4 linked regions of the Caenorhabditis elegans genome follow. The main gene of each other region encodes a partner of the protein of the gene in region 4 in a complex. Each region holds a gene or a part of one and is shown on either strand. Other genes may lie near its edges. The genes, in order: eif-3.B, eif-3.F, eif-3.E and eif-3.K.

Region 1 (8,158 bases), on a different chromosome or scaffold from region 4:
CGCGGCGATTCCACGTTGGGCTCTCGCGTTTGGTGGAATAATGCTGTCAGTTGTGGTCGCGGCGATGTACGTGGCAAATTGTATTAGTGAAAAAATGGGTCAAAGGGTAATTTAGAAGTCTTGGGTTTTAAGCTAAAAATCGGAATTTCAGCGGCAAAAATCGCTGGTCCCAAAACGTGGAAACGAGAAGTTCCGGGCGGGATTCGGAGGCGGAGTGATGATGAATAGCTCGGGGAGCCAGAAGAAAAAGTCGGTGATGATGTTCCGGACGTTCTCAAAGAATAATCATAACAATAATAATAATAATAACAATAATCGATTATGAGTGTTTTTTTTCGGGTTTTTAAAATAAAGACTAGCTTGCCTTTTTCTTATCCCTTCTTATTTCATAATATTTTGAATAAATAAAAGATTGCGAAATTCCTATGATAAATTCTTATACGCGGAATCTCCGCTGAAAAAAAGGCAGGAGACTTGAAATTTCGCAATAATTTACCGTCTCCGATACCGCAGGAGTGCACATTTGTAATTGTTCAATGAATCTGTATATTATTTAGTGTAAACTAAAAATTATTTGATGAACACACATGATAAACTTTTAGATAGCACTTATGTACATATACATGAGAAATCCGGTGCTTAGATATGAACTCCTTTTTTTAAGCATAGGTTTTTAGGTTACCTGTTTTAGCGAGTTTGAATTAATCGTGGCAAAACTCACAGTCGTCAATAAAATGAACATATATAAAGTATTCAAACATACAAAGCAACAAAACTAATTGTAAATAAACAAAATTAAAAATATTTTCGATTTATTAAAAGAACAAAACATTATTGCGCTCACCTTGTTTGAATCATGTACGATGCATTATCCGAAACGGCGAGCCTGTAGCACAATAGTGATAACACAGGGTTCCTCTTAACCAAAGCCGTCGGATCCGAAGATCTACTGGCGTTTGATCGAGTTGCCCGCCTTTTTCCTCACGGACTAGATCTCTACCCCACAATGGGATTAAACAAGACCGACCCTAGACAATCCTAGAGTCAGCTTAATCTGCCAGCAGAATCCACTGACCCTTGGGTGGCCGTCCCGTTTTTCAAGATTTCTAGGGATTTGCGACCTTTCTCACGTCACGTGCGTTACCCAGCACCGGCCAAGTGATGCAAGAAAGGGCTTGGAGGTCCACATCCAGTGAGTGCTTAGCTACAGCTAAACGACCACTGGAACAGGAAGTCCCCGGTGATGATCGTATTGAACTACACAACTTTATTGTAGTAAACTACACTACCGGTTATTATATCCAGACATAGTCTCCCGATGAAATACTCTCACTTGTTCAAGTGTGAAACCCGAACCTTGCTCTTGTACAGTTGATAAAACTAATGTAACTCAAAATATGAAACGGCCCAAGACTATGAAAGATATTTTAAGTTTCCAAGTTCTTTCTTAAATTCCAAAACTTCTTTGATTCAACAACTTTCTACTAAAACGCTCATAGCAAATCATCTGCAAGGACGAATCCATTGAGAATAATGTATACTAATCATCATGTTATAGTAAAAATTGCGTGATTTGTACAGTAAAAGGTCAGCAGCATTGTTGTGAGGACTACCCCCTTGGATTGTTGCTTGCTCTTTGATTGTTGAGCGGGCATCGACTGGAGCTCGGTATCGATTGTGCTAGCCAAATAAAAATCGATTAGAGGTGTGGCATTTGAAGAACATCAAATTTCTATAGATACGAAAGTGTCTATATGTATCAAGTAGCAGACTAAAAAAATTCCAAAAAAAATCGCCTACCCCACCTCTATTTTCGATTTTAAATAACCAGTCATTCGATTGAGCGCGCAATTGAGTGCCGCTAGGTCATCAAACAGGGCCGCTCATCGCAAAAACATAGCTTGACAAAATGCTGCTGTGTTACCGTACTAATCATGGAGAACCAAGAATCATCAATCATGAAAAAGCAAGACGATCCGCAGAAGAATAAAAAAGAACTGCTAAAAATCATTTGTGGTTTTGCCTTTAACTTTTCGTTTTATACAAGCTATCCCTTCCGTCGAAGCTGGCAGATTTTGTACCGGCAATACTCTCACTTTTTCCAATGTAAAGCCCAAACCTTTCTGTTGCACAGTCGACAAAACTCATCTAACTCAGAATATGAAACGACCTAACCCTGTCAGAGATATTTTAAGTTTTCAAGTTCTTTCTTAAAATCCAAAACTTCTTTGATTCAACAACTTTTTACTGAAACACTCATAGTCCATACTCTGCAAGGACGAATCCAAAGAGAATAATGTAAACTAATCATCATGTTACAGTAAAACTAACAAAAACACAACTCCGTATCCAGACATAGTCTTCCGATGCAATACACTCACTTTTTCCAATGTAAAGCCCAAACCTTTCTGTTGCACAGTCGACAAAACTCATCTAACCCAGAATATGAAACGACCTAAGACTATCAGAATTATTTTAAGTTTTCAAGTTCTTTCTTAAAATCCAAAACTTCTTTGATTCAACAACTTTTTACTGAAACACTCATAGCAAATCATCTGCAAGGACGAATCCATTGAGAATAATGTATACTAATCATCATGTTATAGTAAAAATTGCGTGATTTGTACAGTAAACGGTCAGCAGCATTGTTGTGAGGACTACCCCCTTGGATTGTTGCTTGCTCTTTGATTGTTGAGCGGGCATCGACTGGAGCTCGGTATCGATTGTGCTATTTACTTAAACAACTGATCGATAAATATATTTAAAATGTACTCGCTGCCGCGTTCTCCGGAAAAAAGGGCAAATGTCCGCATTTCTTCGTAAAGTCTGGTGTTTGCGTACACCCATTTTTCTTTCATTAAATATTTATAAATGCATTGATTCGCGTTTGAGTTTCAAAATTATCTCTATTTGAAATTCCGCGCAAATCTCATGGACGCGGCCTAGGATTCTCTTCGGTCGAGCGCTTGCAACGACGCTCCGTTCTCCCGCATGGGTGTTGTTTAGAGTTTGTTCATATTCCAAATATCGGTCCTATTTTTCAGATTTTCCAGCGTTTTCCAACATTTTTCCACAATTTTCGGAGAAAATTCTGTAAAAATTCAACTTATCTCGTTTTTCCTTCCATTTTCCTTTAAAATATCTCACAATTTACTCAATAAACCGTGTCTAAAGTTTCAGACTAGTTGGGTTACACAGAATGGTCGAAATTGACTTTAATAAAGAGAACGAAGAAGATTTTTCGGATCCGCCAGGATTTGTTGACGACGTCACCGATGATGGTTGGTTTTTTATTCAATTTTTTGAAATCAATTCCAAAAAATAGCCAACAATCAATGTTTTTATTTCAGTTCTCGTTCCTGACGTTCTCCACAAGAAACCAACTATCGATGAATTTGAAGACAATTGCGTCTTCATCGCGGGAATCCCAGTTGTTGGAGCTGACCGTCTTGGAAAACTCCAAAGTGTACTGAAGAAGGTTCTGGAGAGGTTGGATCCTGCAGTGAAGCTCTACATTCCGCCAAGTCCAGAAGGAGGTTGCTTGGTGAGATTCACGCAAACGATATCGATTTTAATATATTTTTTCCAGGGAGTTCTGCTCACCGAGTGGGCCGATCAACGATCCGCTCAGTTCGCCGTGAAAAGTTTGAATGGATATGCTTTCGATAAGAATCACACATTCACCGCCCGTTCTTTCAAGGATATGAAGCAACTCGAAGCTCCTTCCGATCACTGGACAACTCCAGAGAAGCAGGCTTATAATGACGTTGGAGATCTCTGGTGGTGGCTTCAAAACGAGCGTTGCCGTGATCAGTTCGCAATTTCCCACGATAAACTTGGAGTTCCAACTGTCGGAGTGTTCACCAATATGAAGGGAAATGATCCAGAGCTTGCAGGAGATGCCGATAAGGCTGAAAGAGCTGTAAGTTTTGAGAATTATTTGTTTTTAAAAAATGAAATAATTTTTTTTTCCAGAACTGGACCGAAACCGTCTTCACTTGGTCACCACACGGCTCCTACCTTTCCACGATCCATAAGCAAGGAATCATACTTTGGGGAGGCAAAGACTACGCTCGTGCCCACCGTTTCGCTCATACCAACGTTCAATACATTGATTTCTCGCCGTGTGAGACCTACCTTGTTACCTACGCCGCTCCGGAAGAGTCGAACAGCTGGGGAGACTGTGAGAAGGATAGTTTGAGAATTTGGGACGTCCGAACCGGAGAATTGAAGAAGGCCTTTTCCACTTTCGAGCTCACCGGAAGAACTCAGCTCCCAACCTGGCCATTCTTCAGATGGTCATTCGATGAGAAGTACTTCGCGTGCCTCAAGGCTCCAGAAAAGGATAAGCTTGAGCGTGAGCAGAAGATCAACGGAATTTCGATCTTCGAATCCGAGAAGTTCGAGCTCTATGAAGGCCGTCCCGTGAATATCGAGAATATCAAGCAATTCGAGTGGTCGCCAACATCCACAGTCCTCGCCTACTATTCAGAGTGCACTGACGCCGTTCCAGCCGAGTTTGGACTCTTGCAAGTTCCATCAATGCAGAGACTTCGTTCGGCTCGCGTTCACAATGTCGCCGACGCTCAGATGTTCTGGCAGAAGAGCGGAAAGCGATTGGCCTTCTACACGATGAGATTCAAGAAGAAGGAGTACAGAGAGACCGGAGAAGTCAAATATGTGGTAAGTTTTGAGTTTTTTAAAGGATTTTTTGAGGCCTATGACAATAATAATAATAATGATATAATTTCAGGGAGGATGCCAATACCACGTGGACATCTTCGAGATTGACAAGAAGGACGTTTCCCTTATGAATCTCCCACTTTCGGAGCCATTCATCCATTTCGATTGGGATCCAGAAGGCGATAAGTTCTGTGTGCTCGTGGGAAACACCGCTAAGGCCACTCCACAAGTCTACAAGATCGAGGCTAACAGCCACGCACCGAAGCTTGTGAGCAAGTTGGACGCTGGAGTTCACTTCAATGAGGTTCAATTCGCGCCGAAAGGAGGATGGCTTGCAGTTCTCGCCAAGGTGTCAGCTGGAGGAAACGTCTATTTCATTGATACTTCTTTGTCGGAGGCCAAGAGAACTAATGTTATAGAACATCCACTCTTCAATAAGGGATATTGGGATCCAACTGGAAGATACTTTGTGACATGCTCAACGTTGGGAGGAAGAGCCGGAGCCGATTTGGGTTACCGAATCTTCACATTCCAGGGAAGAGAACTGTGCAGAAAGAATCTCGACCGGCTCGCCCAATTCAAGTGGAGACCACGGCCGCCGGTGAAGTTGAGCGAACAGAAGCAGCGTGAGATCAAGAAGAACTTGAAGAAGACCGCCGCCAAGTTCATCAAGCAGGATGACGACGAAAAGTGCAGAGCCAGTCAGGAGGTTGTTGAGAAGCGACGCAAGATCATGGCTGCCTTCGATATTATTCGAAGCCGGAATCGCGAGCAACTCGACGCCACCCGTGACGAGAGAATCTCTCTTCGAAACGGCGTGGACACAGAAGCCCAACTCGACGAGGACGAATTTGTGGATGAGGAGATTACCATTGCGCTGAGCACAAGCAAAACACAAGCCCCTCTGACGGAGGAGGAGATGAGAGACTAATTAGTTATTTGATTTCCCGGTTTTTCCCCTTTTTTATGCGCTGCTTTTTCTTCCTGATTTCTCGAAGACTTGGAGCGGCGTCCCCTCTTTTTGGTGGTTCCACCATGTACTCGTTTTCGTTTTCCTCTTCATTTTCCCAGTCATGTCGTCATTTTCTGAACAACGCCTTTTTCTATGGCAAATTTAACTTTATGATGCCTGAATGGAGAAGGTTTTTTCAAGCTTCTTTTGGGCGGCCCTAATATTATTTAATTGTTTCTCTCTATCCACTTTAATATCTCTTGTTGCTCCCGTCTCTCCGTGTTTTCTGGTGGTTTTTGCCGATAAAATGTTGATGAATTAGTTGATGTTTCAGATTTTTTCCAAATAAACAGAAGTGAAAATTCATAAATTATATTTTTCAGCGCTATAAAATTGTGATTCTGAAAAAAAAATTCCACGTTTATTAAAAATTCCACAAATGGTGCAATGTGACGTGACGGTGTATGCACACTTTGCATTAAATTTGACGACAAATGTCTCATCGGGTTTTCTGTCAATTTTTAATCCACTTTCTCTATTTTACTCTGTTCTTTTTATACTTTTTTAAAATAAAATTTCTATAAAAAACTTTAAACTTCAATTTTAGCAATTAACCCGTTCATGCACTCATCGTTTTCGGAGCCAAATTCGCCGTTGAAAGAGGTGCTCGTAGATAAGTGGCAGACAGCCTCATGCAGCGATTTGGGCGAAGAATATGTAAAAGTAGGGGTTTTTAATGAGAAAATTTAACGAAAAAAAATCAATTTTTCAGCCGGGACCCCTGGCGAGAGCAAAATTCAACGCGTTGCGAAATAAACGCGAAGCAATTGATCGATTTTTGAAAAAGCACCGAAAAGAGGATCTCAGCTTATATATTGGTAATTTTTATTATAGAATTTGAATTTAAATTTATCAAAAAACGATTTTCAGACGAACTCCGCGATTTTGCGATTTCACCCGGCGGGCTTGTGGACGATGAGTTCCGCGCCGTCATTTGGCCAGTTTTATCCGCGAATTTAGTGCAAAACGATGATTTAGACGATGTTTCTTCGTCCTACGACTCGGATTTCGAATCTGCGCAGTCGGATTTCGACGAGGAGCCTGCTTATGAGGTTTTTACACTGAATATAAATTTTTTAAATATGAAATATAAGCTTGTGTTCCAGGAAAGCGAGGAGCTGACACTAGAAGATTTAAAAGGCCACAAAGAATGGAATCAAGTAGAATTGGACGTTCATCGGACGCTTTCCAGGTTCCCACCGAACATATCAGATACCCATCGAGACGTGCTTCAAACCGAACTCATTCCATTAATTGTACGGGTGCTCAGTATTAATCCACGGTTTAATTATTATCAGGGTGAGTGAAATGATGTGAAAATAAATATAACATAATTTAAATTCAAATTTTCCAGGTTTCCACGACATTTGCCTCACAGTACTTCTAGTTTGCGGCGAGGTAGATGCTCTCCCAGTCTGCTCAAATCTCGCGAAAAATGGCTCATTCAACAACTATTTGCTAAAAACTCTCGAAAAATCCGTAGTCCGAGAGCTGGATCTCCTCTACGTCATCTTGTCACGTGTCGACCCATCTTTGGAGCAAGTTATGCGATCCGTCGAGCTCGGCACCATGTTCGGACTCTCGTGGCCGTTGACCTGGTTCTCACATACACTGAAGCAATATCAGCAGATTGTTCGATTTTTCGACGTCTTCCTCGCCTCCTCGCCACTGCTTCCGATCTACGTGTCGGCGGCTGTCGTCGTGTTTCGACGGGCAAGCATTCTGGCTTGTGAGCGAGAAATGCCATTTCTACATCGTCTGCTCACCGAAATGCCCCACGAGTTGCCCATCGACACGATCATCAAGGATTCTGTGTACGATTTTTGCAGTCAGAAAAAATATTTAAAAAAAATGTTTTTAATTAAAAATTTTTTTTTTTTTGAAAAATAGATTATCAAGCGAATTCTGCAGCTTTTTGAATGGAATTATGGTTTTGCAAGCCCTGTCGATTTACGAAAAATTTTGTACTACACGTGGACAAGTGCGATTTCGAGTTTTTCCGAGATTTTACAGTTTTGGACATTTTTGTTAAATTTTTTCTGCCTTTAACGCGGCCAATATATATTATAAATTCTCGTTTTCTATAAATTTCAACGATGAAAACATTGATTTTTATCTGAAAAAACTGTAAAATTCGAGCATTTTTGCAAAAAACGTTGTTTTTTTAACTAAAAATCTTGTTTTTCAACTTTTTTCTCGAATTTTACAATTTTACAGTTTTTTTTCTCAGTTGAAAATCAATGTTTTCATTGTTGAAATTTATAGAAAACCGCTTTTAAATTTTAAATGCAGAAAAAAATTCGCAAAAATGTCCAAAAATCATGAAATCTCGCGAAAAAATTACCTCACACTTGTCCGCGTGTAGTACAAAATTCTCCGTAAATCGACATGTATCAAAGCGTGCCGCAGGTTCGCAAAACAGTTTTGAGAGCGGGAAAAAGCATTCAAAATCCGTCCAAACTC
Region 2 (8,006 bases), on a different chromosome or scaffold from region 4:
TGCGAATTATAAGTTAATTGTGATTACCATTTATAAGTCCTTCTCTGCCAATTTCCGTATTGCAAATTCGCAGTTGACAGAATTCGATGAGATCTTGTAAGACTTTCAATCGATTGATCTAAATTTTATTTAATTGTTTTTTTTTCATTTAAAAAATACAACTTACTCGTCAAATTACTCTCCATTCCCAATTGTCTTGAACCAACAAAGAAAACCAAGAAGACAGTCCAAATCGCAAAAACTACCAAAATAGTTCGTTGAACAATTCGAGTTCTTGTTATAAAATACATTATTTTCATTCGAACACTATCCTCAGGCCTTGGCTCTTGAACATCTCCATCATCTTTTGAATCAAATTCAGATGAAATCAGTAGTCGACGTTGTTCATCATTCTTCATCACATCTTCTATACCAGAATCCGAAACTCGCCGTTTTTGCATTTTCTTCATTACGAACAATTTGGGCCAGATTTTTCGCATCGGACAGCTGACAGGTGCATAGTTTTTGAGACGTGGAATCTCTTCATAGAGTAGAATTTCTGCGAATTTCCGTTTTTCCTCGAGCCCAAGGCGTTGTAGATCAAACGTCAGACATGGTGCATAGAAGAAGAGCTGCATGTAAAAATCGACAGTCACACAAATGACACTAAACTGGCAGAATTCTTGAATATCAGATATTCTCGTTAAAAATCCGATAAGCAACGCGAGAAGCTCTAGAATATAATATTTAGTTAATTTATATCCTTCTTGTGATAATCCATGTGCAATTCTTGATGAAACATCCAATGATGGAGATGTATAAACAACGCTTCGAGTTATACACAAAGTGTTCTCTAATCCCATAATCAATGCAATATATGGGTATACTTCGGAACCCCAAGTGGTCGTACTCAAATCTAAATGAGCACATATTCCAGTTGTCATAAGAAGTGTCGATGCAACAGTAAATGAAGAGGCAAAAGCAAGTCCCCATCGAGATGCAACCATTTGAATTTTACGAGAAGAATAGTAGACGTAGATCATGCAAACGAAATAAGTCGATATCAGTGGAATATAATCTGAAAAAGTCTTGAGTGGATGGAAGTACACCTGAACAAATGTTCGTTGATCGTTAGGCGGAGTGTCCTGAAATTAATTGTTTTTTTTAAATGAAAACGTAAAATCCAAAACTCACAACTAATTCAAATTCTTTTTGCAGTTTCTCTCTTATTCCTTGAATAACCTTCTTGCTATATCTTGCAAAAAACATGGTCACAGCGAATTCGATTTCTGAAAAAATACAAAATTAGTAAATGTTTCCTAACTTTCAAATCCTACTTCTTTTTCGATTCGTCTGATATTTCTGCTTAATGCCTGTCGCTGCAATAGGTGCTCCCAACAACAAATCTCTCATGCAAAACGTGGATTTACAATGCTCATTAAAAACCGTAGTGATTGTGTCATCGTCTTCTCGAAATTTTTGCAGATTATTGTACCAAATACTGGCGGGCGAGAGTACAACACAGAGTGATTTTGAACGAAATGGCCATGAGGAGTCTTGTCTCTGATTTGCTAGCCGAAGGCATAGTTCTTCGACAGCGGGCTCTGCGAGCAGAATTTGACGAATTCGAAAAGCCGTCGCAATTGCCGCACGAACAGCATGCTCCGGTCCCATTTCTGTTGCATTCCATGGAGATATTGTAGTGGAGACAATGAATTGCTGGATGTATGATGCCGGATTTTCATTTATCCAGAAGGGGGCGATTTTGTCTAAATATTAGCTGATTTTCTGGGTTTTAATTGAATATTCTACCATTAACATGTAAATGTTCACTCCAAAATACATCAATCGGAGTGCTGACTGGTAGACGGAGACGTGTGATTGTTGGATATGAGAGGACAATCATTGTGAGAAGGGACATTGAGAGGCAGGCTTTTGGATGGGCGGCACATAATCTGAAAAATTTTATTTTCGGAAACTTGGTTTTTTTGCTAGAGAAATTATTAAGAACTATACTTCTACTTTATTCAAAAATTTTCAGATAGACTATTAAGAAATACTGATGAATTGGACACAAAAAGCATGCGAATGTCGAAAAAAATTATACTACACTCGGACAAGTAATGCAAAAATTTTAATGCAAAAGTATATATTTAATGCAAAATGAATGAGGAAAAATAGCCAAAAACTGTGAAACTATGATTTTGTAAAATGCACACTTGTCCGAGTGTAGTACAAAATCTCTCGTACATGGACACTCGTTTTTTTTCGGATTTATGTTAAAATCCATGATAATTTTTCGAAATATTTACCGTCCATAATCGTGATATGCGTTTCCAATTCTCTCCTTAGCCTCCTTCCATCGAATTTTCACTCGATCGTTCATTTTTTATCGATTTTTTCAAAATTATTTTCTCATGTAGATCTGAACGCTCTAGTGATAATTTCAAAATCAGATTATTCCGAGCCCAGATATAGAAATTCATGCAAAAAACAATTCAGTCATCCCATCAGACGCCTTTAACAACGAGGTTTATCCGATAGAAAGTGATCATCATCAGAAACCTTCAAACATTGATTTTTCTTTAAAACCAAATCAATAAGAAGGCTAAATTATGAGAAAAAGAAAACAACAAATACTAATTTCAGACAATCCATTAAAAAAAAAAGGCAGATAGATAGAAAACATGGGGAGAAATATTTTAAGAATTGGAAGAAGGATGATATAAATGGATGGAAAGAAAAACAACAAACGCCAACCAAAAAAAAATATATTAGAAAAAATCGGGACAAAAACGAGTTTATAGTGTGGAGAACAAAAATTAGGCCGACACAAGACGTTCGTGAACTTGAAGTTGAGTTTGAGTCAATTTGGCAAGGTACGAAACCATCACGTAGTCCTGAAAAAGAAGAAAACAAATATTTGAAGAGGTTTAGCTTTTTTTTGTTTTTAGATTCTCGTCAACTGCTTTTTCTCGCGGGCATATTGTTTACATGAGTATACACCCATTTTTCATGGTTTTTGGTCATTGAGAAGATAGGTTTCACAAGTTTTTTATTTACAAGTTTCTATTTATGTGTTTGTGCAATGCTCTAATTGAGATAATAATAAAGACAATTTAATTGTATGCATAAATTTCAAAAAATTGGAAACGCTAATTTCAAATTCGGGAGGGTAGCGGATATCATATCCCGACATCTACCGGGTTTCGCGCGGCACAGAAAATGTATAGGCATTCCCTAAATTTGCAGATTTTTCGTGTTTTTAGCTAAAGATTTAATTTCCTCAATTTTTGAGAAAAAAAAACTAACAATTCTGTACTAAACTGAAAAACGTATAAACTTTACTAATTTCCAACAAAAAAACTTTTTGAGGTTATTAAAAAAAACTATTTTGATCAAGATATTCGAAATTTTCAAAATCACGTACGAATATTACACAACTTTTCATTTCTCGCTTTTTAAATATTTTTGGCTGAAAACTTACACGAAGAGTATTCTTGACAAGAGTATCGAGCTTCTCTGGCTGCATATTGTTTGACGAGGCAGTGACAATATCCATGAGTTGACGACCGATTTGAGCATCTCCTGGCTTCTCACCGTTCTTGTTAACATCTTCCACGTAACTGAAAATCACGGTTTATTCTCCAATTAAGATAATTTTAAATGTTAAAACTCACTGCAACATTCTCTCCAACCACTCAATCATCTGAGCTGTGCTCGTCTCCAATTGCTCCAATCCACTTTCAAGAGTTGCCTCTCTTCTTCTGGAATCCAAAGCTTTTTCGATAAGTTGCATAGCAACCAGTTCTCCCGGGAATGCAGCTAATTCGACACGAAGTGGGTTGAAAATAGCACAGTGTGGTCCAGCAGCTCCAGGAATTCCGGCTTTTGAGCGAAGATAGGCACGAACTGGCATACGCTTTGACATATCTCCAGAGAAAGTCGTGTCAATTGTCAAAACGACAATTGGTGGAGATTCACGACGAGCCGATGCTTCAGTGATGACACGTACATAGTAGTCGTGATAGATGAGACACGAAGAAGTAATGTCAGATGTTGTAAGGAACCATCCAACTGGTTGCTCATTTGGAGAAGTTTTCTTTAATGCAGAGATCATTTGTTGATTGAATTGATCATCGATTTCCAAATCGTCGTTGCTCTCATTGAAAGGGATCGCGAAACAATTTGTGACCTGGAAAATAAAAATTGGAGAAAATATCATGAATTCCAAAAAAAATATTATTAGCGAAAATCATCCATTTTGCAAACTTTTCAGGGTTACAGCGGCCAGAACTTGCTTCTAGTTCCACAAAAATGCAATAAATTGTAATAATTGAATATTATTAAGTTCCGACCTTTGTGACACGGGAAAGCTTGCAAAATTGAAGATTTTAGCTGAAAGTATACTTTTTTCAAAATTTTGGCATATTTTTGTGTGAGCACTTGAGCATTCGGTCATTTTGAGTTTTTATTCGTTGTTTTAGATACTTTTTCGGTCGATGGTATTTACATAAAATTAAAAAAATTAGATTAAATACAGTTCCAGACACCAATAAGCTTGCAAAATTTCAGTTTTTTCAAAAAATTAGGCTCTTTTTTCTGTAATTATAAATATTTTTACCTGAATCGATCCTTTCTCATAGTATCCCATAAGTGTTCCCATGCACTTTTCCTGTCCTGTATTTTTCGCAGAACTCTTGGTACGTCTCATATGAGTGTCGACAACATTCATGTAGACTCCCGGGTGGACATTGACAGTTAAATTCGAAGCCATATTGACTTTTTTCTGAACCCTGTAATTGAAAAAAAAACTAAATTAAAGAAATAATCTGAATCAAAATAGTAAATTCAGCTGAAAACTGAAAAATGGTTTTGAAAAAATCAATAAAAAATATAAAGTTCTTAATAAATATTTTAAATTATTTATTTATTTACAATTAAAAGAAAAATTGTGTTTTTCAACGAAAAAAAAGAGAAAATAAAATAAATGTTCTGTGAATCAGAGAAAGAGATATAATTCCACTTATACATATATACTTTATCCTGGGAACGAGAGGGGGCATCAAGAGAGAGAGGGCATAGACTTAGTCTACCGAAAGTTTATAGTTTTATCACAACTTTTACTTATATTCACATGAGATTTTTAGAGAGACGTGCAAAAATTAAAAAAAAAAACAAAAAATAAATGGTGGAATTTTAGATAGTTTTTGTGTGCAACTAGACTTCTGAGCTTATTTGGAATCATTTTTCGATGCGGAAAAAAATTATGGGTAAATTGGCTTTGTTTTCTACGTGTTTCCCCATAATTTTGAACTAAACACTTTCTCTAATGTCATTTTTTGTTGTTAAATTTACAAGTTAATTTCTTCGCCTCAATCCATCGGCTGTTTCTCCTGAACCATAAGCTGGTGGTGCTTCAAATTGTCCAGCAACATGAAGTTCTTCAGTTGGATGTGGGCCGCGTTCTGGTCCGATTCCTGGATATGGTGGTGGTGCTGAGCTCATGAAAACTCGTGATGGGTTCGGCTGATCTGGGAACGAATCGGTGGTTGGATTGAAACCATTTGGTCCTGAAAATGTGAAATCTATTATTAATCGGATTAACCGGGGAATAATTTTAAAATAAAAAAAAAGTTAAATGCGGTTTAATATTATTTTTCTAACGAATTTGATAAGAAAACCATTAAATCCAAAGAAAGATGGTAAAATCAATTCAAAAATCAACAAAATTGTGAAACAAAAATGCAACGAGGTGGAAGAAAGTTGCATTAGAGCACGTTTTCATTTTTGCAAAACTGTCTGACCAGAACTGAAGATTTTTGGTATTTTTAGCAAAAAATCTCTCTTAAACAAAAAGTGATCGAAAAAAAAAAGAAAAAACTCGTTTTTTTAAAAATTAATCTTTAAAAAATTTTAAAAAATGTTTCAAACTTGGATTCCTTTTTTTTTCGTTTTTCAAAAAAGTGAAAAATGTTCAAATTCATACAAATCTCTAATGATTACGCTTAACATTTTTTAGGTAATTTTAATTTCGAATTCAGGATTATTTTTAATGTTCAAAAAATCTTACCTTGATCCGGCGACGGCTGATAATAAGCTGGCGGTGCAGAGTAGAAATCTCCAATTGGTGGAGAATATGCAGGTGGAGCATTCTCTGGTCTCATTCGAACAGCTCTTTCGACTGCTTGCAATAGAGATTGCCCGAATTCAATACATCCCCCTCTGTTGAATGTCATTCTCCATTTAACCTCTCCGCGCATTTGTCCTCCTTGAACAGCCGAGGCGATTCCACATAGGTAGTTGGCTCCGAAAATCGGCTGGTTTAAGTTAACATCTTGCATACTGTTGAATGGAATTTCAAATGATTTCAGCCAATCTCCAGGGTCTGGCATGAAAATGATTCTGTGTGATGTGAGGTAGATGGTTCCCGTTCGACGTCCTTCCAAATTCTATAAATTCGAAAATATGATTATAATTTTCAGCATTTGTGCTAATGAAGATTTTTGGTGTTTAAAAGATATGAAAAAAATACTGCAATAAATTACCTCATTTTCACTGGTTCCTAGTGTCATTACTACTCCTTGTGCAAAAATCACGATGGTTTCTCCATTATACAGTAGGACACCAAGTCCGTCCGGCGTGTTCGCCGTGTTGATGGACATCTAAATATAAATTAAACAAGTGGTAGCAGGATAAAAAAAGGTACCCAGAAGCGGATTTTCTATCGAAAAACCGAAGCATAATACGAAAAAAAAACAAATGAAAATGTTAGTTTAGGGAAAAATCTTCGTTTAAATTTTAAAAAATTATAAAATTGGGGAAAAAGCACAATAATTAGAGACCTAGATCATATTTACAACAAAAAAACCGGTTCAAAGTTGAGATAACCTATCAAAAATTGAGGGCAGGCAAAAGACTAGCTATACATTTTCGTGTCAATGAAAGGATGGAAAAATAAAATAAAATGGCAAAAAAGCACCAAAAAGCCGTGATGAAAACTTACAAAAACAAGTGACAAAATTACATGTTTTAGAGAACCTATTTTCGAGTCTATGTGATAATAGAACTAGAAACAAACAAACAAACAAACAATTGCACACACCTAGAATCTAAGAAAATCGTTTTAGCTGATCAAACATCGAGGAGATTTCAGATTTTTTCACGTTGTAATTGAGCCATGAACTCTTCGAGTTTCTCTTGGATTCGGCGAACTTGTTCTGAAATGGAGAATGTATAATTTTGTTTTGAATGAAACTTCGCAACATTTTGAAATTGAAAATGGAATCTCAATTATAAAAATTTACATTACATTTGGAATTTAAAGAATTTTAAAAGTATAACTTTGCATGAGAAATCCAGGTTTTCATTAATAAAAATTTGAAGATCAGAAAAAAACATACGAATTTCTTCTGCAAGATCGACACGTCTTCCCGTCAAATATTTCTTTTTAATATCTGGCTCTTGTGACCAATCATCCAACACCTCCTTAATCTCTTTTTCCAGCCTTCTGTGTTCAGTATTTGTGATTTGTTGCCGCAGTGCGTTACACGTCAAGTTGACCATCTTTTGGATTCTGTAGAAAAGTACGATGGTTTGGCAATCGATATCTTGTCCTTCAATCATTCCTTGACGATACATCTGATACATCGATAGACAGTCCTTGCTGCTCTGCAGAAAATATTTTATAAAAATTTAATTTCAAATGTTTCAGTCACACTTACATTAATTATCCTCTCCAAAAAGTGCTTCTTAAATACTAATTTCCATTGTTTTCTAATCGATTCAGTGGGAACTTCAAGTACGCCTTTCGTCTCAATATTTCTTCTGATTACAGTAATATCATCATCAGTCAACGCCTGTTTGTGCTCTGGATCTGCTCCTAAAATTGAGTAAAGCTCGTCCTGAATGACACATGAATAATGATTATCAGCAGTTGGGGTCTTCCACATTAGCCATTTCGATGCCCAACCCGGTCCTCTGTCGTCAGTAAGCTGCTTCTTCACTGCTGCAAGACGTTCTGATGC
Region 3 (7,148 bases), on a different chromosome or scaffold from region 4:
ACACTTTTGGCGAGAACAATGTCTCTTCGAAATTGTAGTTTGTATCGAAAATTGGAAGTTTTGCATCTTCAGAATCGAATGAATGAAGTGGTGCTGATGGTTCCTTCGAACGAACTTGAGCTGCTAGTTTATCACGATGCACAAAAGCGAGCTCTCCAAGTTTTCTTCGATCATCGCCAATGAATTTCGGGAAATTGTTGAGCCTTCTCTTAACGTCACGAGTTCCAATTTCTTCTTCATCATACAAAAACATGAAACCACTTCGTACCCAGAAAGCTTCAGATTCAACATCATATGCCACACGATGATCTGCCAATCGGGATACATTATGAGCAATTCCACCCATTGCATCATCAATTAAACTTCCAAATAGTTTTTGTGTGTCTTCATCAGAAAAGTTGATTCCATCACCGAATTCCATTGATTTTAGAGTGTTCTAAAAAAAATTAAATTAATGATAATATTTTCATGAAATATTCTTACTTGGAAACTTGTCTGCAAATCAGCTGTCGGAGGTCTTAATCCATGATAAAAATCATCAAGTGACTCATTTTCTACTCTGGTCTTTGTAAGGTATTTATAATAATCCAAAGTATCAAAATGTGCCGGTGTCGGTGGAATTCCCCAAGCTTTGCGTGTTGCCATCAACGTTGGATGCCAATCTCTACGCCATGTCTTTTCTGCGCGGGTCCACGGTCGCTCGTACGGTGAGACGAAATCAATTTTCTCTTTAATTGTTGGCATTGAATGGACCATTTCTGCAGTCTTGTAGTAGTCGAAAACGCGAACTCCTGCTCCAGATGCATCGCCAGCGTTCACAAATTCCTCTTGGAGCATATGCTTTGGCTCGTGGTGCTGATGTGGCTTTCGATAGTATGGCGGACGATATACAGTTGAAGCGTTCGCTGATTTGGCTGGAACATTTTCTGATTTTGGGGTGGTAACTTCGATTTCTTGTGATGATTGTGGTAGATCTGCTCCTGCAGTTGTTGCCTTTCCACGGCAGACTGTTCTGATCATCAGACTTCGTTTTAACCCGTGCATCTTGCAATTTCTGAAACAGGGCTGGTGAAGAATTAATGAAATATTGGAATTTCAAAAAACAAAGAAAGATAGAAAAATCACAGACTATGACAGTAAATGTAGCATTTCAGAAATATTTGTTTCAAATATTGTACAAATTTATTTAGTTCGAAAAAAGAAGAAAGCACGCTGAGGAAGTTGGAATTGAAAGGGAGATCAGTAGCAGGGCGTGTAAAACTGCGAATTTCAGTATAACAATCCAAGTTTTTAAAAAATTAAAAATTGATAAATATAGAAATGTATAAAACGGTTCACTTTTAATGAAAAGCTTGAGAAGACCTCTAAAAGTTTTTCTACGTTTCTAAATCAATTTTAGATCAAAAAGTGAATTATTATATTGAAATAAGCGGGTTTTGCACGTTTGCCTAAACACAACCCTGACCAGTAGTTGTTAGTGTCTGTGAGATCGTGTATTTGAAGAAGGTCCTCCAGAAGTTGAAGTAGGATTGCCGGGAGTAGCTGAAAATAAAATATTGACAATATTCCTCCAACAACTCATTGACCACCATAGAGATGAGCATTAGGAGATTCGGGAGAGTCAGAGGGTGTTGGAGATTCGTCATTGATTCCTTGCTGTGGTGTATCATAAGCGTTGAAGAGGAGTGGCGAATCATTGTCACCAGAACGAGAAGCTCGTGGACGTCGACCTACACGAGGTGGCATAACTCTCAACATTTCAGCTGATGAGACAGGGTTGACTGGCGTCGAAAGTGTTAGAGTTGGAGCAGCGACAGGAGTTCGAGCAGATGTTAAAGTCTGGAAATACGGAGAATAGCCATAAGATAAATATGAAAAAGTGAATAGAAATAAGTGTTCGAAACACCAACAACACAAAATTATGTCACCTGCACTTCAGTGAATGACATTTCACATCGATTCTAAAAGGTAATGTTTAAAACATTTAATTTAAAAAAAAAAATTACCGGTGCAATGGAAGTACGCGTGCACTCTCCCGTACTTGGTCCTGGAACGTCTCTGTTCTCTGAAAAAGCTAGGTTAGGAAAAATTAAATAAATCATCATCTCACTTCTATCCGCCGATCTGAGATTTCTCCTAGTTATGCCACGTGGAGGCTCACTCTGATCCATCGGCTCCATTTCGTCAATATCCATCATTTCGCATTTTGGCACGATCACAGCTGGAAGTACCCTCTTGTTCAGTTGATCTGTCAGCCATTGGATATCGTCCTCACACAATTCTAATTGTGTTAATGGACGCCGTAACATTGACATACTGAAAAAGAGTGAGATAAATTATTTAATTTCATAAAAACTGTGAATTGGCGAAAATGTGTATTTTTGGAGATTTAATTTTTAAACGGCAAAATCGAACCTATGGCTTAAATATTTCTGTAATTAGCGAAAAAGTAAGGCAAATTCAACAGAAATGACAAAATATACAGATGGAAGTGTTTTTCCTCACAAAAAATAATTTCAAACAATTTCTCGGCAACGGCAATAAATATATATTGAAAGGTTTCATAAACCTAGATTCTAACAATAATCAAACCATGATAAAAGAGAAAATATATTATTTTAACCAATTAGAACCGAACCTCCAGCCCCTGCACTAACGAAAGAAGGGTCAGAGACAACAAAAAGAAACAACAGGGATATAAGGAAAGTTTAGAAAAGACAGAATTCGAGTAGTCCTCGTAAAAAACCGAGGAGCTGAACAAATAAGAAAGAAAAATAATACTGAAAACTGAGAGATGACAGTCTTAATCTCCGTGTTTGCCACATCTCAATTTTCAGAACAGCATCAGATGAAGAAAAAGGAAAAAACATTCAAAACCGGAAGAACTTGTAAAGCCTAAGTCGCCTTGACTTTGTCTTGACGACCTTTTTCCAATTGAAGGGCGATTTGTTGAGCGCGGAGGGTCAATCTCTTCGTGTTTTCCATGACTTGCTCGTGGATGCTGACGGATTTGACACCCATCACCACTTGTCCCAACTTGCTGTCAATTTTAGCTCCTTCGATACGATACGTTCTGATCAAGTCAACAATCCAGCGTTCAGCTTCCTCTTGGCTCATATTCAATCGTCGTGCTAGCATTTCTATGGTAATGCACTGATGAATGCGGCAGAACATCTCGAAAATGAGAAGGCGTGCAGACTCGCGGAAATCTCCAAGGACAGCAGTCAGGAAGAAATCATTGGAGAGAACCTCTTCGCACTTTTGAAGCATCTCTTGAGCCTCGTCGAAATCATATTTGATGTAGAGACAGGTGAGGAAATCAGTGACGGGATCCTTGTAACTATGGCGTTCCTGTAGAAAAACAAATAATTAATCATATTTTCATATAGAAAATAGTTAAACTCACGATGTCAATGACCTTCACCAAATCTTTCAAGCTGTTCTTCTGGCGGCTTTTGCTGGTAACAACGGCAACAGCCAGATAGCGGAGCAAATGTGGCGCCAAAACTTGGATTGCATTCAAATAAGGTTGCTGGTTCAAGAACATTTCGATAATCTCATCACGCCCTTTTGGATAATTGTAGTAGACGAAAAGTGCCCAGTGCATAAGCCACGCACGTTGCGTAACAAGTTCCCATTCCGTGTCGAATGGATTAGCATCGATGTAAGCACGAAGTTTCAGCAAATCGTCACGAGCATGTTCCCATTCTTGGAGCAGAATTTCACTGGCCAACTTTCCGTAAAGAGCGTTCAAATAGTTTGGATCCGCTTGATTGACAAGGTTGCGGTAGTAGTAAAGGCACACGGATGCGACGGTGTAATTTCCGCATTCGTACATGAACTTGCTGTACTTGAAGAGGGTATCGACCATGTCTACTGTGAACTGCAAGAATTAAGATTATTTTCGAAACTGCAAAGCAAAAACGTACATTGTGGTTTTGAGTGAGATGCTCCAAAATACGGACATTTCCATCTCTTTCTCTGTTGTTATCCATCATTTCCTTGACTTCCGGTATTTCCAAAATGGCAACAACGGAGTCCACCTTGCTTTTCAGCTCATCTCTCTCCTTGATAATTTGCTTCTTCTTAGCCTCAATTGCAGCCGGAATAGGTTTTCCATTGTAGGTCTCTATAACACTATCAATCATATTGGTCTTGGTCAAAAGCTGGCGGTGCATTTCGGTCAGGGATTTCTCATCGTAAATCTGCAATTATCATTGATATAAATAAATTCAGCTATTTCAGAATCAACAATTTATTGTTTAAATCTTACTCCTCGTGGTTCGATGAACTCCAAGAGCGGAATGATCAAATGAAGATCGAGAAAAGGCGCCATGCGCTGAGTCAGGTCGAATGTCGACATTTTTACCTGTAAAATAAGCGTATTAGTATAGTAATATGTTCTAATAAAACTCCAATCAATTTTCTTAACGGAAAACATAAATAAAACAAAAACAATGAAATTGCAGAAAGAAAATCGAGAAATTAGGAGAAATTCGCCGGGAAAGGAGGAAATGATAAACAACGCGCGCTATGGAATATCGGAGTGTCGTTGCTACTGCCTGCCAACACGAGCCACCAGCGAAATGAGAACTGCGAGAAGTAGAACTACGAGAAGAATAACCGAAAACTGCAATTTGCGACATTTGAAAAATATTTCGGAGTTTTTTGGTTCTAAAATTTCAGTTAAAAGTTTTTTAATTTAAAATATTCAAATTGAGAAATTACGAACGAATCATAATGTTCCTGGGATTAGGAAGAGTTACAAGATATTAAGACCCGAGCCCGTATCGAGACCCACCCCGAAAAACATTGTGTGGCTTTAAAGCAATGCTTAAATATTGTAATTGTGAAATGTCAGTTTAAAATCACATATTAATTTTTCGAGTGGGTCCCGCAACGATCTCAATAATAGTGTGCCAAATTTTACCGATGTGTCAGAGACACAAGTTTTATGAAATTTCAAATTTTGAAATGCACAGAAAAGCGAACAGTAAAATTTAGAATGCTTTATTATTAATTTTTGGGAACAGACGAGACCGTAAATTCATGTGGTGTCAGGTTGCCCCATTTCGGTTTGATCAACATTAAATTCGGGTATTTGATGTCAGGAGGAATGCCGAATCTACGAAGAATACGATTCAATTCATATGGACCTCAAAACTATGAAGGAGTAATGCATCGAATTATTCACAGACCGTGGAATGGAAAGCGAAGACCAAAAGTGTTCAAGTGAGAATATAAATTATTTGTCGTAGAGCTGGCGAGTGGGCTACATGAAGAGCCCTGATTCTTGAGGGTAGTGTGCCACCCAGTTGAAACAAAACCTGACTATATAGTTTGACTTGTGGGTCTTGGTTACACATATTGTTTCTAAAGATCTTGACATACCGTATTTCCTCTATTAGTTCAACAGACTACTTTACTTTGAAAGGTTATATCTCGGTTCATTTCAAAGATATCATAAAACTATTAACTACAAAACGATATAAAAAGAACTACCAAATATTTCATCAGTTAATTATTTTTGAAAACAACCGAGATATAAGCTCTCAACCGTGAACGATGGGGTGCCATACTAATTGAAGAAATTCTTGCTACCTATCTACTGTAGAGATTAAAGGAAAAAAGCTAAATTATTTTATTTGAAAAATAATAACATTCAGATACAAAATAGACGAATTGGATTGTACACTTGGATGGGATATTGAGAGCGACGATGGACAAATTGCAACCGTCAATTTTATCGAAGAATGCCTTGATTTTGTTGTATGGAAAAACGATAACTATTAATTCAATTTAAGCCAGTTGCTGTTATGTCAGAATACACTGAAATTGACCAAGATATCAAAATAAAAAAGGCAAACAATTTTTAGATCTCAATTTTCAAATAACCGCTAAAATTTGTTCAAAACTGTTTTGGTAGATTTCCAGCTGCCAAATCTTAACTTTTTGGGTGCAAACAGTTTTTTTTTCAAGTTGGAATGTTATATTTTGATATTTGGGTCTTTTCGAATTTTTAAAAATGTCCCCCACTAGCACTACTCCATTTTACCCTCTGTTTTATAAATGTATATGTTATTCAATTACTCTCAAATTATCATATTATTTATATTTTCATTCTAATCCATGCTTTTTCAAAGACTTCATTTTAAAGAAACCTATAATATTATCGAATCCAGATTATAGGAATTAGGCATGTTATGAGGTGTGTAACAGGCGCCAGAAAGCAAATAGTTAGTAGCGAACATTTTTATTTCCCGATAAAATGTTAATTAAACATTTTCAACAAAGAAAATTTACGGAGAAATCAAGGAAAAATCGAAAAAAAAGTGACCTTTCGTGAAACGTGAAAATGTCTTGATGAACTGATGAATCGAGAAGAAAAATCTATTAATCAATATTCATCGAACCAAAATCGACCAATTTCGCAGTATTTTGAATTCATATTTCTCTGGCAAATTGTTGAAATGGCAACGGAAAACAATACAGGTAAGAATTTTATGCAGATTTTCAGAGAAAATAACTAATTTTCAGATGTTTCTGAGAACCAAGAAGAACCTGATGAACTGAGTCCAAAAACGAAAGCTTTTGCTCCAACACTCGAGAAGGTCTGGAAGCTCAAATTTGAGAAAGTTCTCGGTAATCATTTGGAAATTAATTCCAATTTATAATTCATTAATTTACAGGTAGTGGCTCCTATTCCCGTGTGGCACGCGCAACTTTCGGAGAGAAAAAGCTCGAAGTTGCAGCGAAAATCATCAACATTACGCCAACTCGTGAAAAAGAGGACTACATCAAAAAGTTTTTGCCACGTGAAAAAGAGATTGTCAAGCTCTTGAAACACGATAATATTTGTCGTTTGTACGAGATGATTTCATTTCAAGATCACATCATCTTCGTCAATGAGTACTGTGCTGGAGGAGATTTGCTCCGTAAAATGAAGGATATCGTGGCAATGAAAGAGGAAGATGCAAAGTTCACATTTCGTCAACTTATTGCAGCACTTACTGTAAGTTTTATATCAGAAAACTGTTTTTCTTAAATTTATAAATTCAGCATCTGCAATCCTATAACATTGTGCATCGGGATCTCAAATGCGAAAATATCTTTATGGATAAACATGGAAATGTGAAGCTCGGCGACTT
Region 4 (6,556 bases):
AAAATTGACTTTGTGCTCTTCTGGAGCACAAAAATGCTCCATGTCGGCATGGGAATACATTTTTGTAAGTATGGGAACAAATGTATGTGTGGGAATGTCGGCATGGGAACGTTCGACTACTGGATGTAAGCATGGGAATTTTGTATGCACGGGAGAAAATGTATGTATGGGAATGTCAGCATGGGAACGAAAAAAATGGGAAAAATGAGTTGTAGGCATAGGAGTACTTCGACTACTGGATGTAAGCATCAGAATATTTTGTATGCACGGGAGAAAATGTATGTATGGGAATGTCAGCATGGGAACGAAAAAAAAGGGAAAAATGAGTTGTAGGCATAGGAGTACTTCGACTACTGGATGTAAGCATCAGAATATTTTGTATGCACGGGAGAAAATGTATGTATGGGAATGTCAGCATGGGAACGGAAAAAAAGGAGAAAAATTAATTGTAGGCATGGGAGTACTCGAACTACTGGGCGTAAGCATGGGAATTTTGTGTGCACGGGAGAAAGTGTCAGCATGGGAAATGTGTGCATGGGAAATGTGAGCATGGGATAGATTGCCTCGAAAAAACGGTAATTTGGCACGCGGCACTTCCCACACAAACACACCTCCCACGCACGCCAATAATTTTCAGATGTATGATTTTTATGTTAAATTTTAAGTTAAAGAAGTGAAGAAGCGTTTTTGATTGTTTTTGTAGCATATAAAAATTTTCTGTGTCGACACTGGCGCCTAGCAAGAACCTTTGAATTTTTCATGAATTCAACTTTGCGAAATTTACTCAGTTTTTTTGGTTTCGCAAGGCGTAACGACCCACAAAATTATCCGAGCTCAATTTTCTAAAAAAATTCTGGAAAGTCAGGTCAAAACGTCTCGAAAAATACTAAAATGAATTTTTCTGCATACTGCTACTCGCCGCTCACATCCATCTTTCTGGCGACTATGCCATTCAAGACTTAACCTACTGCCGCAGTCCATGACAGAAATACCGTGATAGAAATTATTTGGATTTTTGTTTTTAAAGAATCTCTAGACCAAGAGCATTCTTTGAACTATAAAACTTGTAAGACACTTGATGGATTCCTCGAGAAAAATGTAGAAAAACCGCAGAATGCCGACTTGCGTGCCATAAAGGTCGTGATCTCAAAAGTTCTGAAGGCCTGCAGCGATGCGGATGGGAACATTTTGAAAATTCAAAACGTTCATCTGGTCAGTATTTTATGGAGAACAAAACTTGTACAAATTGATGTAATAACTCTCTTCACTAGTAAAGTTATAGAGCTGCAAACGTGTTACCATACTTTTGGCCCACCCTGTAAACAAGATAATTTCATTGAAAAATGCAAAATTAAAGAAGTACCATAAACTTATTTGCGCGTCGAGACCAATCTGGATGAATCCATGCGTCTTCGAGAAGACATGCTAAAATCTTTTGAAATTATGATAATATTTCTCGCTAGATCATATTCTTCAGATTATATACTGTTCCACGTCACTTCGATCGGCAATGGTTTGGTGGGCTTTGACACGATCTGGTTACAATGGGAAGATCTATTTTGGCGGGTGGCCTGAATGGGTAGTCAGAGCACCTGACGGTTTGAGAGTCATCGGAGCAACGACGGAGACTTGACGCTAAAAGAAGATCCATGTTAAATATTATATGCATAAAATGCGGGTAAAAGTGAATATTGAATAAAGTTCATGAAAACATAAAGGAAATATAAATAGGAAAGGGAATAGAAACGGGGGAAAACCGAACAACAGAAACAAGGGTATTATAATTTGAATGACAGTGATAATTGATATTAAAGAGTCAACGGGGGTTGAATGCTGGTCAGAAGATCGGCGACATCTGAAAATGATAGATGCACTTGAGATTTTACTAGGCATTTTAAATTTGTTCTTCGATTATTAGGACATTTTTTAAATCGTTTGAAAAACCTAATACGCATAATACTCACGTGGGAATTGAATTTTCTCGTCGATATTTCTTGTTTTGATAGTTCCTTCGTGATTTGCAACAAAGAAAACATCTCCATTTTCCTTGGCTTCCCATCCGAATGATTGTGCCAGTGCGGTAACTTCCTTGTCACTGGCTCCGCCGAGAAGACGGCTCAACATTTTCTTTTCGATTTTTTGGAACGTAACACTGATGACGCGACAAGCATCTGAAAACTTGGTATTGAAATTGTCAAGCAATAAAAATAATATTTAACTGACAGTGCTTGACAGCATCCTCGAATCCGACCATTGGCTTGATCATTTTTGGGACTTCGCCAGGAACTTTGAAGGGTTCATTTGGGTTCGTTGTTGGCTGAAATTTTAAAAATTGATTAGTCGTACGCCGAAATTAAAGAATATTCCAAAAATAAATAGATTCAGCATTGAAATAAATACTGAGTTTCAGATGCACACAAAACAAGGTTTGATTTTGAAAAGCTCACTTGTTTCAATATTAGATAAATCTATTCTTTGAAAAGTGTAAAAACTCACTTTATACGCCCCCTTCACCAATTTCCAGAAAACAGCGAAGTTGCAAGATTCGAGCACAGCTCCAAGATCAAAGATTCTGCGAAGTTCTTGAGATCCGAGTCTGTTGGTGTCGATGAGACACTTGGCGAGAGCGAAATCACTCGATGGCAAAACCATCAACGTCTTGAGCAAAACTTGTCGAACAACAGCCTCGTCGTACCTGTGAAAAATTCTCTTTGAAATTTATTAATCTTCTTGAATACTTACTTCTCCGGGTTAAGCTGGTAGAGCTTGAGAATGGTCAAAACGATATCTTTATCGTACTTGTTTTCATTGACCATAGCTTGAACGCAGGCAGCCAAGTCGGCAACATTTTCCGGATTGTATCGGTTTACTCCTTCGATAGCTTCGTGCAATTCCTTTTGCAGTTTCTCGAACGACATCTTAAAAACAAATTATAGCAATTGAAGAAAAGAAACTCTGCGAGAAATAATAAGTAGAGTGAAACTCCTGAACAGACTCGATGAAGTCCTGCGCAAAGTGAAAAAAATCTTGCATAAAGTTGCGCACATCTTTTGTCAAATCGATTAAAATTACGCTAAGTTTCTCCATTAATTAGAAAAAAAGCTACAGAACACATCAAAACTGATAGAAAAATATTTAAGAGAAAGAAAAAAAATTTTCTCAATCAAAATAACAATAGTTTTAAAGGCGCATCGAATAAATCTGAAGGCATATCCTGCACAGATCTTCCTCGATTTTAGAGGCACTCCCCATTTGGGTTAAGAGATTTCAGTGAACTCGATTTGCTATCAGACAAACTGAAATGGAGACGTTTTTCCAAGTTTTTTTTTCAGTTTTTAATGAGATTTACATTAGAAATAAGAAAAAACTATTGTTAGAGGAAAACTCAGCGTATGGGTTTCGCCACGCTGATATCGGGTTACTGTAACTGGTGTCAAATTAAGGGCCACATTTGCCTCATAATTTTCAAATTAAAGGAAAAATTTCTGTTACGATTTATATAATCAAAATTTAATGCAAAATCCATAAATCGACAAAAGTTACAGTAAGTCGTCGTCTGCGTGGTGAGACCAATGTGCGTAAGATATTGAAAACTCGCATTTAAGGTATACGTAATATGAGGTTTTGCCAGAGAATATAAATATATGAAAATAATTAAGATATGATGACGGAATCAAACCGCTGTATGAACAAAATTGTACAAAATTCAACAGTAGTAAAACAAATTTTTATTATTTTTCTTTACTATCAAAAGTAACTGTAACAGGTCCGTCATTTACAATATCGACGCTCATCATTGCTGCAAATTTGCCGTCCTGAATCTTATCAGCTTTGTAAGCTTTTTTCATGGCTTCAAGAAAAGAAGCATAAAATTTTGAAGCTTCTGTTGGGGCCATTGCGGTATGAAAGTCCAGTTTATTTCCCTAAAAAACGAAATAATATGAATAGTTTTGTTTAAGTATATTAGACAAAACTCACTTTAAACTGACCGTAAAGGGTGAACTGACTGACAGACAGCACTTCTAAATCGAGATCCATAACTGATTTATCCCATGGTTTTTGTTCCGAAGCAGGGAAAACTCGTAGATTCAAAATTTTCCTAATGATATACTTCATATCCTCTTCCGTGTCATCTCGATGAACTCCGACAAGCACACACAGACCTCTTCCAATGGAACCTACCTGATTATGATATTTTAAACAATAACGGTTAATATATTCTTACCACTTCATCACCTACGGTGACTGCAGCTCGAGTAACTCGTTGAAGAACTACCTTCATTTCTGAAAAAAATTGAAACAACTAATGTTAAAAATACAAAAAAAAACAGATGAAAACTATTGAAATGTTCTCTTGAAAACCCTAAAAATAAATGAAAAATGTTTGCTAAACAGAGCGCGCTAACGACACTCCACCGTATTACTAGTCCTCAAAGGCTCGGCCAGCGCGACGTGGAATCTGTACACGGTCTCCTTCACAAGAAATGTACCAACTCTCTCGCGGTTTGCTTGCTGGCCACCTTGCCGTTGTTTTCAACAGGAGTTCTTAAATTTGAGCAGAAATCGATGATACGGTAGACTGTAGCAGCTATAGCCTTGATTGTAGAAAGTGGATGCACTTCATAGATTTTGAGCATATATAACTCTGTTCATGTTTGAGATAGAGACTAATGATAAACTGACAAAATGAGCATTACAAAAAGACAGACATTTCTTAAGTTGAGAGTTTTTTGATATCTCTTCTCAATAAAAAGATACGACCATAACTTGATGGCTGTGGTTTTACATGCCACCCTTAATTAAAACCTTACAATCTCCGTTATCTTTAAAGATACAACAATTTTATTAACCAAATATTATGACAAGCAGATTTAAAACAATTTTTACTAACAAGAACTACATTTCTATATACAAAAAATTATGGGGATTTTGACATTTCCAAGTTGGCCATCTTAAACCGGCTATACCACTAAGTCCTGAAACCTGAAATTGATATTTCAATTGGGAACTTATTTTATATGAGATATCTAACAATTTTGTGAATACTTTCTTCTAACTTTTAAAAAAAGTATTTCATGAACTGTTATTTGACTTTCTAATCAATGTAGCTTTTGGGGACATGCAACTAGTCTGTCTTACAGGTTAGAAAAATATTGTCAACTAAAGAAATATTAATCATTTCAAACTGAACATTTTGTTATGTAGTTATCAGCTCTTCAGTAAAGAGGGTACTGTAGTAGCCAGCGTAATCTTTGGACCGAAATTTCTCTCTTTTAACTCAACTAATAAGTTTTTCCATTAGCCGCTTTTCACTTTAAGCCAACTTTTTTTAAATTCAAAAAACCTTCAAAAATCGACAATGTAGTACTGAGTTAACTTAGTACTACATTGTCGACTGGAGTTGATATTTATCCTTTAAATTACTCTTTTGTATACAGACATTTTTATATGTCTTATACTTCAAAAGGTTCAACAAAAATGTCTACATACTAGAGCCGGACGGTAGATCAATATGTGCAAAATAAATGAGATCAGATGTAGGAGTGAGAGACGCAGAGACCGTATGTTTCTCTGCCGTCTCATCTTGTGGAGGAGGCCCACAACATGTCAAATGCTACGTGGCCGTGAATATTAGTTAAACCATAGGCCGGGAACACTGCAATTGGTGGTCACTTACCAGCCAAATTAACCCACTTCTCAACCAACTTTTTTCAATTTTTTCCAATTTTTGCCAACTTTTGGTAACTCTTTCCAGTTGTTTGTTGCAAATTCCCAAAGATTTTTGTTTCGGTAACGTGTTTATGAATATTTGTTCTATAATACTGAAAACATTTTTATACAATTCTTATTGAAATTTTTCTTGAAACAAGTTTGGAAAGTTAACGTAGGTTTTGAAATACGATTGATATCTTCGTACTTTTTTGAGAAACTGAAACAAAATTCAAAGATTTTTATTGAATAGTTTTTGTGAAATCACAGTTTGAAATATATCTTAAATTCCCCCGAATATAATAATTTCCATTATGGAAAAAATCAATTTCACGTTTATTTTTTTTTGAAAGGTCAAATTCCGCTGCTGTCGTGTTTGTTGCGATCTTCGTGGATTTTGTCTGCTTCTCCAGATTTTTGTATGCTAAATCGTTTTGTATTACCAATCATTGTGTTGCTGTGATTTTTACGACGATTCGAACGTGTTAGTCGATCATCTTTTAACCCTGTATTTAACACGAATTCGACCTCAAAAAATCTATAATTTCAGCGACATGGGTGAAAAAGAAGAAGCCGCTCCGGTACTTTTGCAGTGCCTTGAGAGCGGCCGAGTGGACGTGATTTGCTCAATCTTGTCACAAATGAGTAAGTTTCAATAAAAGTATACTGTAACAATATGTTAAACTACAGAGAACCAACCGGACTTTCACGTTCAAGTCGATAAACTTTGCTGCAAGGAAGGAACACTACTTCATAAAGCTGTTGAGCTAGGTAATATTTTGAGATTTTGATTTTAAGCAAGATAACAGTTTTAGATGCTGCTGATAGTGTAGCTTCTTTGCTTTCC

What was found.
Region 1: eif-3.K (region 4) and eif-3.B share a complex: the UniProt entries of both Caenorhabditis elegans proteins name them as parts of the eukaryotic translation initiation factor 3 (eIF-3) complex.
Region 2: eif-3.K (region 4) and eif-3.F share a complex: the UniProt entries of both Caenorhabditis elegans proteins name them as parts of the eukaryotic translation initiation factor 3 (eIF-3) complex.
Region 3: eif-3.K (region 4) and eif-3.E share a complex: the UniProt entries of both Caenorhabditis elegans proteins name them as parts of the eukaryotic translation initiation factor 3 (eIF-3) complex.

Annotation. Positions count from the first base shown.
Region 1 is NC_003280.10:14,792,230-14,800,387, forward strand, and holds eif-3.B (Eukaryotic translation initiation factor 3 subunit B), read left to right. Parts: upstream 1-3,174; 5' UTR 3,175-3,199; coding exon 3,200-3,281; intron 3,282-3,350; coding exon 3,351-3,544; intron 3,545-3,589; coding exon 3,590-3,922; intron 3,923-3,975; coding exon 3,976-4,683; intron 4,684-4,753; coding exon 4,754-5,614; 3' UTR 5,615-6,006; downstream 6,007-8,158. Other genes in the region: Y54E2A.10 (uncharacterized protein), read left to right, coding at 1-106, 152-325; tbc-20 (Rab-GAP TBC domain-containing protein), read left to right, coding at 6,257-6,358, 6,408-6,513, 6,566-6,747, 6,802-6,994, 7,050-7,509. UniProt on the Caenorhabditis elegans protein: RNA-binding component of the eukaryotic translation initiation factor 3 (eIF-3) complex, which is involved in protein synthesis of a specialized repertoire of mRNAs and, together with other initiation factors, stimulates binding of mRNA and methionyl-tRNAi to the 40S ribosome.
Region 2 is NC_003280.10:9,328,412-9,336,417, reverse strand, and holds eif-3.F (Eukaryotic translation initiation factor 3 subunit F), read right to left. Parts: upstream 4,776-8,006; 5' UTR 4,757-4,775; coding exon 4,604-4,756; intron 4,175-4,603; coding exon 3,660-4,174; intron 3,606-3,659; coding exon 3,467-3,605; intron 2,880-3,466; coding exon 2,802-2,879; 3' UTR 2,448-2,801; downstream 1-2,447. Other genes in the region: scp-1 (Sterol regulatory element-binding protein cleavage-activating protein), read right to left, coding at 28-118, 167-1,124, 1,174-1,268, 1,317-1,748, 1,792-1,934, 2,292-2,365; wbp-2 (GRAM domain-containing protein), read right to left, coding at 5,341-5,552, 6,053-6,431, 6,528-6,644; eat-3 (Dynamin-like GTPase OPA1, mitochondrial), read right to left, coding at 7,132-7,199, 7,383-7,650, 7,704-8,006. UniProt on the Caenorhabditis elegans protein: Component of the eukaryotic translation initiation factor 3 (eIF-3) complex, which is involved in protein synthesis of a specialized repertoire of mRNAs and, together with other initiation factors, stimulates binding of mRNA and methionyl-tRNAi to the 40S ribosome.
Region 3 is NC_003279.8:10,637,913-10,645,060, forward strand, and holds eif-3.E (Eukaryotic translation initiation factor 3 subunit E), read right to left. Parts: upstream 4,370-7,148; 5' UTR 4,364-4,369; coding exon 4,274-4,363; intron 4,206-4,273; coding exon 3,930-4,205; intron 3,884-3,929; coding exon 3,407-3,883; intron 3,352-3,406; coding exon 2,896-3,351; 3' UTR 2,611-2,895; downstream 1-2,610. Other genes in the region: mrps-30 (Mitochondrial Ribosomal Protein, Small), read right to left, coding at 1-436, 484-1,044; cdc-26 (Anaphase-promoting complex subunit CDC26), read right to left, coding at 1,475-1,542, 1,587-1,839, 2,007-2,065, 2,111-2,315; B0511.17 (DUF4283 domain-containing protein), read left to right, coding at 5,117-5,232, 5,667-5,793; tag-344 (Protein kinase domain-containing protein), read left to right, coding at 6,372-6,492, 6,538-6,642, 6,690-7,012, 7,060-7,148. UniProt on the Caenorhabditis elegans protein: Component of the eukaryotic translation initiation factor 3 (eIF-3) complex, which is involved in protein synthesis of a specialized repertoire of mRNAs and, together with other initiation factors, stimulates binding of mRNA and methionyl-tRNAi to the 40S ribosome.
Region 4 is NC_003283.11:12,950,364-12,956,919, reverse strand, and holds eif-3.K (Eukaryotic translation initiation factor 3 subunit K), read right to left. Parts: upstream 2,919-6,556; coding exon 2,743-2,918; intron 2,696-2,742; coding exon 2,497-2,695; intron 2,318-2,496; coding exon 2,224-2,317; intron 2,172-2,223; coding exon 1,965-2,171; intron 1,856-1,964; coding exon 1,809-1,855; 3' UTR 1,691-1,808; downstream 1-1,690. Other genes in the region: mpst-7 (Rhodanese domain-containing protein), read left to right, coding at 1,478-1,633; pqn-68 (D-aminoacyl-tRNA deacylase), read right to left, coding at 3,732-3,923, 3,979-4,182, 4,226-4,282; T16G1.18 (uncharacterized protein), read right to left, coding at 4,897-4,983, 5,491-5,583; T16G1.9 (EIF3k), read left to right, coding at 6,264-6,354, 6,400-6,480, 6,525-6,556. UniProt on the Caenorhabditis elegans protein: Component of the eukaryotic translation initiation factor 3 (eIF-3) complex, which is involved in protein synthesis of a specialized repertoire of mRNAs and, together with other initiation factors, stimulates binding of mRNA and methionyl-tRNAi to the 40S ribosome.